2 linked regions of the Canis lupus familiaris genome follow. The protein of the gene in region 1 binds, or shares a complex with, the protein of each later gene. Links are inferred from orthologs where the notes say so. Each region holds a gene or a part of one and is shown on either strand. Other genes may lie near its edges.

Region 1 (4,244 bases):
TGTGTCCTGAGCCCCTTATAGGTGCTGGGAAAATCCACGGCTGGCGATAGAAATCTTAGGAAGTAGATGGCCATGGCCTACAGGCCACACTGAACACAGGAACAGAAAAACAACCCAACCACTCCCACTCTAGGGCTGACCCCCACGGTTATCTACAAAGGGTTAACTCATTCCTGCTGGAAGGGGAGTTAAGATCAGACAATGTTACAGATGTTTCTTTTAAGAGCTTTCCCCTTGCACTTGCCTCAGCTGCTCCAGGAGCTGCTTTATGTATGGTCATGGGAGGAGGAGGAGGAGGAACTGGCAGCCTCTTCCCCGCCCCCACGGTTTCCGTGCAGAAGGGTCAGGTTCTGCGATGCTTCCAGCAGCTCTCGGGAATAAAACCATCCCAAGGCCGCTTGGGCACCCAGGCAGGATTCTTTCCGCCTCCCCCGCACCTCACCTCTGGAGAAGAGGTCCTGGCCCTCGAAGTGGATAGAAGGGCACTGGTCAGCCTCAAGAGGTAAGCGTAGCAAGCTGTGCTAACGACTGGGTTTGGCCTTCTCTTCGCCCTTGGCTCCGTGGCCCTGCCCTCAGCCCACTGCTCGGAGGGCCGCAGCCTAGTGGCGCCAATTCGCACTCGGTAAACGGCGGGTTTGCTGGCGCGGGTTTCTCCGCCTCAACCCTGCTGAGCCTCGCCTTTTGCATGGACAGCCCTTGGTCATCGCGGCCTTTCCAGGGACCGCAGCAGGTGATACCTGAATGCGGAGGATCCCTGCTTTGTGGGGCGTGGGCGCTGGACAGGGCTGAGGGAGCGGCGTGCTTAGATCCTCTTCACCGTCGACCCCGGACCAGTCGGGGGATGCTACGTAAAGAGGCCGCTGGTCAAGAGTCGGGAGCCCGGCGCCCACAGGCACTGCCACTCCTGTTCCACGCAGCGCGGGCCCCCGCGCCGGAAGCGGGAAGCCTAGGGCCGGCAGGAGCGAACCAGGCCCGCTCTCGCGATGGCCCCCATCTCCGCGCAGCCCGGCCCCAAGGCCGCGCGGTGGCGCCAGAGCTCAATGCCGGGCCGCGATCGCCCGCCGGCCTCCCGGCCCCTGCCCCGCCCCCGGGGGTCACGTGATGGGGGCGGCGCAGTCCGATGACGCACACCCGGCGTAGCTCTCGCCCCGCCCGCCGCGGGGTCACGTGACAGTCCGGCGCTGCCTGATAACGCGACGCCCAGCCCCTGGGCGCCGCTCCCGCCCCGCCCCGCCGCCACCGCCGCGCCGAGTCCTTTTGTCCAAGATGGCGGCGCCGGGGGCGCTGCCTCCTCGGCCGCCGCCGCCGCCGCTGTGAGGGGCCTGCGGGCCGCCCGCCCGCCCGCCGCGCCGGCGCCATGAAGAGGCAGAGCGAGCGAGACTCGAGCCCGAGCGGGCGCGGCTCGTCATCGTCGGCCAAGCGGCCGCGGGAGCGCGAACGGGAGGCGGAGGCGGGCGGGCGGCGGGCGGCGCACAAGGCCTCGGGCGGCGCCAAGCATCCCGTTCCAACGCGGGCCCGCGACAAACCCCGCGGTAGCGGGGGCGGCGGGGGTGGGCATCGCGACGGCCGCGGCGCCGGGGACGCGAATCACCGTGCGAGCAGCGGCCGCTCCTCGGGCTCGGGCGCTGGCGGCGGGGGACGCGGTGGCAAGGCCTCCGGGGACCCAGGCGCTTCAGGTGCATCACCTCGCGCGTCTCCGCTGCCGCCACCTCCGCCACCGCCCGGGGCCGAGCCCGCGGGGCCCGGCTCATCGGCGGCCGCACCCGAGTACAAGACGCTGCTCATCAGCAGCCTGAGCCCCGCGCTGCCCGCCGAGCACCTCGAGGACCGACTCTTCCACCAGTTCAAGCGCTTTGGCGAGATCAGCCTGCGCCTGTCGCACACGCCAGAGCTGGGCCGCGTGGCCTACGTGAACTTCCGGCACCCGCAGGACGCACGCGAGGCCCGCCAGCACGCCCTGGCCCGCCAGCTGCTGCTCTACGACCGGCCGCTCAAGGTGGAGCCGGTGTACCTGCGTGGCGGCGGCGGCGGCGGCGGCGGCGGCGGCGGCGGCGGCGGCGGGAGCAGCCGGCGAAGCAGCAGCAGCAGTGCTGCCGCCTCCACGCCGCCCCCAGGGCCGCCCGCGCCCGCCGACCCGCTCGGTTACCTGCCGCTGCACGGCGGCTACCAGTACAAGCAGCGCTCTCTGTCCCCAGTGGCCGCCCCTCCGCTACGGGAGCCCCGCGCCCGCCACGCCGCGGCGGCCTTTGCCCTGGATGCTGCCGCCGCCGCCGCAGTAGGACTGTCCCGGGAGCGGGCCCTGGACTACTACGGTCTGTACGACGACCGCGGGCGCCCATACGGCTACCCCGCCGTGTGCGAGGAGGACCTGATGCCTGAGGACGACCAGCGGGCCACGCGCAACCTCTTCATCGGGAACCTGGACCACAGCGTGTCCGAGGTGGAGTTGCGGCGGGCCTTTGAGAAGTACGGCATCATTGAGGAGGTGGTCATCAAGAGACCTGCCCGTGGCCAGGGTGGTGCGTATGCCTTCCTCAAGTTCCAGAATCTAGACATGGCCCACAGGGCCAAGGTGGCCATGTCGGGCCGGGTGATTGGCCGAAACCCCATTAAGATAGGCTATGGCAAGGCCAACCCCACCACTCGCCTCTGGGTGGGCGGCCTGGGACCTAACACCTCACTGGCCGCTCTGGCCCGGGAGTTTGACCGCTTCGGGAGCATTCGGACCATTGATCACGTCAAGGGAGATAGTTTTGCTTACATCCAGTATGAGAGCTTGGATGCAGCTCAGGCCGCCTGCGCAAAAATGAGGGGCTTTCCCTTGGGTGGTCCAGACCGAAGGCTGCGTGTGGATTTTGCCAAAGCAGAGGAGACCCGGTATCCCCAGCAGTACCAGCCCTCACCCCTCCCTGTGCATTATGAGCTGCTCCCAGATGGATATACCCGGCATCGAAGCCTGGATGCAGACCTCCGGGTGCGGGATAGGACCCCCCCACACCTCCTGTACTCAGACCGGGACCGGACCTTTTTGGAAGGGGACTGGACCAGCCCTAGTAAAAGCTCTGACCGCCGAAACAGCCTGGAGGGCTACAGCCGCTCAGTGCGCAGCCGGAGTGGGGAGCGCTGGGGAGATGGGGACCGGGGCCTGCCCAAGCCCTGGGAGGAGAGGCGGAAGCGGAGGAGCCTCTCCAGTGACCGCGGGAGGACAACCCACTCCCCTTACGAGGAGAGGAGCAGGACCAAGGGTGGTGGGCCACAGGTGGACCGGGGCTCTGACCGCACTCCTGAGCGCAGCCGTAAGGAGAATCACTCCAGTGATGGGACCAAGGAGTCGAGCAGCAACTCCCTCAGCAACAGCAGACACGGGGCTGAGGAGCGGAGCCACCACCACCACCACGAGGCTCCAGACTCTTCCCATGGGAAGAAGACCCGAGAGAGCGAGCGCAATCATCGGACCGCTGAGGCTGAACCCAAGCCTCTGGAAGAGCCAAAACACGAGACCAAAAAGCTCAAGAATCTTTCCGAGTATGCCCAGACACTGCAGCTGGGTTGGAATGGGCTCCTAGTGTTGAAAAACAGCTGCTTCCCAACATCTATGCACATCCTAGAGGGGGACCAAGGGGTTATCACGGGCCTCCTCAAAGACCACACTTCCGGGAGCAAGCTGACCCAGCTGAAGATTGCCCAGCGTCTGCGGCTGGACCAGCCCAAGCTCGATGAGGTCACGCGGCGCATCAAGCAGGGGAGCCCCAATGGCTATGCGGTGCTCCTAGCCACCCAGGCGACCCCCAGCGGGCCTGGCACTGAGGGGATGCCCACGGTGGAGCCAGGCCTACAGAGGCGGCTTCTCAGGAACCTGGTCTCCTACTTGAAACAGAAGCAGGCCGCAGGGGTGATCAGCCTGCCGGTGGGTGGGTCCAAGGGCAGAGACAGCACAGGCATGCTCTACGCCTTCCCGCCCTGCGACTTTTCACAGCAGTACCTCCAGTCAGCACTGAGGACATTGGGCAAGCTAGAGGAGGAACACATGGTGATAGTTATAGTAAGAGACACTGCCTAGCCCAGACCTGGCTCCAGCTCCGCGTTTGTGTCACAAAAGCAGTTCTTTTAAAATCCGACCACCACCCTTCCCCACATCCTACCCCTTGGTTTGAATTCTCTGCTGGGTTATTTTGGTTCATTTGATGGGGGAACCAGAGTCCTGACCCCCACCAAAACTAAGTTCTTAAATTTGGGGATTTTGT
Region 2 (3,648 bases), on another chromosome or scaffold:
ACTCAAAATTTGGTCCAATTATCCAAAGTTTCTGATACATCTACCTCTTTACTCTTACTTAAGAATATTAATGTCCAGTGCTTACTAGGCATTATGCTTTTTATATGTCACCTCTTATATTAAAATGAGGAAACTGAAATAAAGATCTTAATTGAACCGATTACCGAATTACTTCATTTGATTGTGCTTGAATTTATTGCACTCTGAAGATATTGCATGTTTTACAAATTAAAGGTTTGTGGCAACCCTGCCAGCAAGTCTACTGGCACCATTTTTCTGATGGCATCTGTTCACTTCATGTCTCTGTGTCACATTTTGGTAATTCTTGCAAAATTTATAACTTCTTCATTACCATATCTGTTATGGTGATCTATGATCAGTGATCTCTGATGTTACCATTTTAATTGTTTTGGGGCACCATGAACCATGTGCATACAAGATAGTGAACTTAATCCATAAATGTGTTTTCATTGTTTCACCAACTGGTGGTTCCTGTGTCTCTCTCCCTCTCCTTGGGCCTCCCTGAGACTTCATATTGAAATTAATAACCCTATAACGTCTTCTAAGTATTCAAGTAAAAGGAAGAATTGTACATTTCCCACTTAAAATCAAAAGTTAAAACTTAAGCTTAATGAGGAAAGCATGTGGAATTCAAGATAGGCCAAAACCTGGGGCTCTTATGCCAAACAGCTAACTTGTGAATACAAAGGAAAAGTTCTTGAAGGAAAAAAAAAATGCTACTTCAGTAAACACACAGATGATAAGAAAAAAATGCTACCTCAGTAAACACACAGATACAAAAAAAGTGAAACAGCCTTATTTCCAATATAGAAAAAGCTTACTGGTCTGAACAGAAGATCAAACTAGCCACAACATTCCTTTCAGGCAAAGCCTAATTTAGAGCAAGGCCCTAACTCTCTTCCATTCTATGAAGGCTGAGAGAGTTAAGGACACTGCATAAGAAAAGTCTGAAGTAAATAAAAGTCGGTTCTGAGGTTTAAGGAAAGAAGACATCTCCATAACATAAAAGCTTAAGGTAAAGCAGCAACAGTGAGGCAAGCAAGGCCCTCCACCAGAAAAAAAAAAAGATTAAAACTTGGTATAAAGCTCAAATAATGGATAGCATTTTTTAGCAATAAAGTATTTTTAAATTAAGGTATACACTTTGTTTAATCAGACATTAATGCTGTTGTACAATTAAAAGACTGTAAGATTGCACAGACATAACTTTTATATGCACTGGGAGACCAAAACTTTCATTTGACTTGGTTTTATTGCAACATTCACTTCATTGTGGTGGTCTGGTACCAAACCTGCAGTATCTCCGAGGTATACCTGTATACATATGCTACTAACAATTCTTTTAGAAAGTTTAAAATTGAGCTTTTCACTATATTTATTTTCCTGGATAAGAATCCATTATTGTAGGGATTTATTTTTTTCTTGATCATAAAATTGCTTTGTTCTCTACTTGCCTTATATTCTTCCATTTTGTCTTCATCGGTTTCTCCTTCATCCTGATACTTACGTTTTGCATTTGGAGCAGAGGTATCATAGGAAGCCCTGAAAAATTAAAACTGGAGTATCACACACAGATATAGAAAGATGTATAAATGGTAGCTATTAATAATATTAAATGACAGTTTATAAAAACAGAACAAGGCACTTTTTTCTGATTAAACGGTATCTATCTATTCATTCAGTTTATAAATCAAAAAAGTCATACATCCTGATTGGTAATTCTGTATTTTATTATTATGAGAAAGCAACCAAATCAGAAACTTAAGTTCATGTAATGGATATATGGCAAAAAGAAACTTCTATATTATGTTACCATTCTAATTTGTCTTAAGAAAAATTGATATTCAAATTAATAACCAGAATACTGAAAAATTCTGAAGTGCTTTCTGAACTACCAATGAAAACTGCTTTTAGGGTAAAGCCTGTTTTTTCTTATAAGAATTTGTAAATATAATTGTTTATTTATGGTATATAAGCTATCCTTAGTCTAACATTCCATTTTCTAACTACTTTATGAATAAGAACTTATTACATTCAGAAAATAAGTATTCATAATTCATGAATACTAAAAACCAGTATTTCTGAAATCTTTTATTTTGATGCCTGTCATTAACAACACACTTCATACCTAGGATTATGTTTATCAAAACAATAACCCAGGGCACCTGGGTGGCTCAGTCAGTTAAGCGCCTGCCTTCAGCTCAGGTCATGATCTGGAGTCTTGGAGATCAAGCTCAGCTTTGGGCTCCCTGCTCAGCAGGGAATCTGCTTGTCCCTTTCCTCTGCCCCTCCCCCTGCTCATGTCCGCCCTCCCTCTTTCTCTTTGCCTCAAATAAAATCTTAAAAAAAAAAACAAAAAACATTCACAATATTCACGTCACTAAAAAAAAAAAAAAGAAAAAAATTCAACTACCTGCAAGTTTCTCTTGTTTCAGCAATTTCTCTCTGCTCATCTTTGCTATTTAACACAGCACCAATGCTGTCCGCACTTTCGGCTCCCAACTGAGAAAAGACAAAAACCAAAAATTAGATCATAATGCACTGGATAGCCTTCCCAGCTTATGTAGTAACATTTAATATATCAGATATTAAAAAACAAAACAAGGAGCACCTGGGTGGCTCAGTCAGTTAAATGTCTGCCTTTGGCTCAGGTCATGATCCCAGGGTCCAGGGATGGAGCCCCACATTGCAGTTCCCTGCTCAGCAGGGAGTCAGCTTCTCTCCACCCCCCACCCCTGCCCAGCCCCCCTTGTATGTGCCTGTGACTGCGCGTGTGCACTCTCTCAGATAAATAAATAAAATCCTTAAAAAAAACAAAACAAAACAAAAAATCTTAACAACCTCAGCAGGCAAATAGATTAGTTAATTTGCAGGAATAATAGGAAATACCTTGGAACAAAACCATGTTAATTAGGAATAAATTGGAGAGCTAGTGAGCATATTATACTTTCAGTTATATTTGAAATTAAGACAATTTTAGCCAATCTTCTACTTTTTAAGTAAATAATAAAACACAATTTAGTAATAGTAGCAATAACAAAAAAAGCGGCTAACGTATAGGCACTAACACTTTGCATCTGTCAATTCACATATTACACTTTATCCTGTGCTATAATAAATATCCAGTTTTATTCAAGTCTTTTTTTTTTTAATTTTTATTTATTTATGATAGTCACACACAGAGAGAGAGAGAGAGAGAGAGAGAGAGAGAGAGAGGCAGAGATGCAGGCAGAGGGAGAAGCAGGCTCCATGCACTGGGACCCCAACATGGGACTCGATCCCAGGTCTCCAGGATTGCGCCCTGGGCCAAAGGCAGGCACCAAACCGCTGTGCCACCCAGGGATCCCTATTCAAGTCTTTATACAATGATCTATAGGCACAATACTGAACTTTAATAATTCCTAAAAAGTGGTAATGCAAATTCTGTTTAGCAGTTGGAGAAATTTTGCAAAACAGAACAAATAACTAGTTGAGATAAACTGGCTACAGAGAGTGGGATCAGTTCACGGAAATCTTTAAAAGCCAAACAAACAAGTGTAGAATGCAATTTATAGGCCATGAAGAACCATTTGATATTTTTTAAGTACAAGAAGGGCATGAGGAAATTTGGATTAATTAGTTCCTTTA

The links. The genes of interacting proteins can lie anywhere in the genome.
Region 2: RBM15B (region 1) and METTL14 share a complex: the UniProt entries of both Homo sapiens proteins name them as parts of the WMM complex. The link is inferred for Canis lupus familiaris from reciprocal best matches to the Homo sapiens genes RBM15B and METTL14.

The regions. Positions count from the first base shown.
Region 1 is NC_049241.1:38,597,431-38,601,674, reverse strand, and holds the start of RBM15B (putative RNA-binding protein 15B), read left to right. Parts: upstream 1-1,357; coding exon 1,358-4,060; 3' UTR 4,061-4,244. UniProt on the Homo sapiens protein: RNA-binding protein that acts as a key regulator of N6-methyladenosine (m6A) methylation of RNAs, thereby regulating different processes, such as alternative splicing of mRNAs and X chromosome inactivation mediated by Xist RNA.
Region 2 is NC_049253.1:2,174,310-2,177,957, forward strand, and holds part of METTL14 (N6-adenosine-methyltransferase non-catalytic subunit), read right to left. Parts: intron 2,524-3,648; coding exon 2,435-2,523; intron 1,564-2,434; coding exon 1,476-1,563; intron 1-1,475. UniProt on the Homo sapiens protein: The METTL3-METTL14 heterodimer forms a N6-methyltransferase complex that methylates adenosine residues at the N(6) position of some mRNAs and regulates the circadian clock, differentiation of embryonic stem cells and cortical neurogenesis.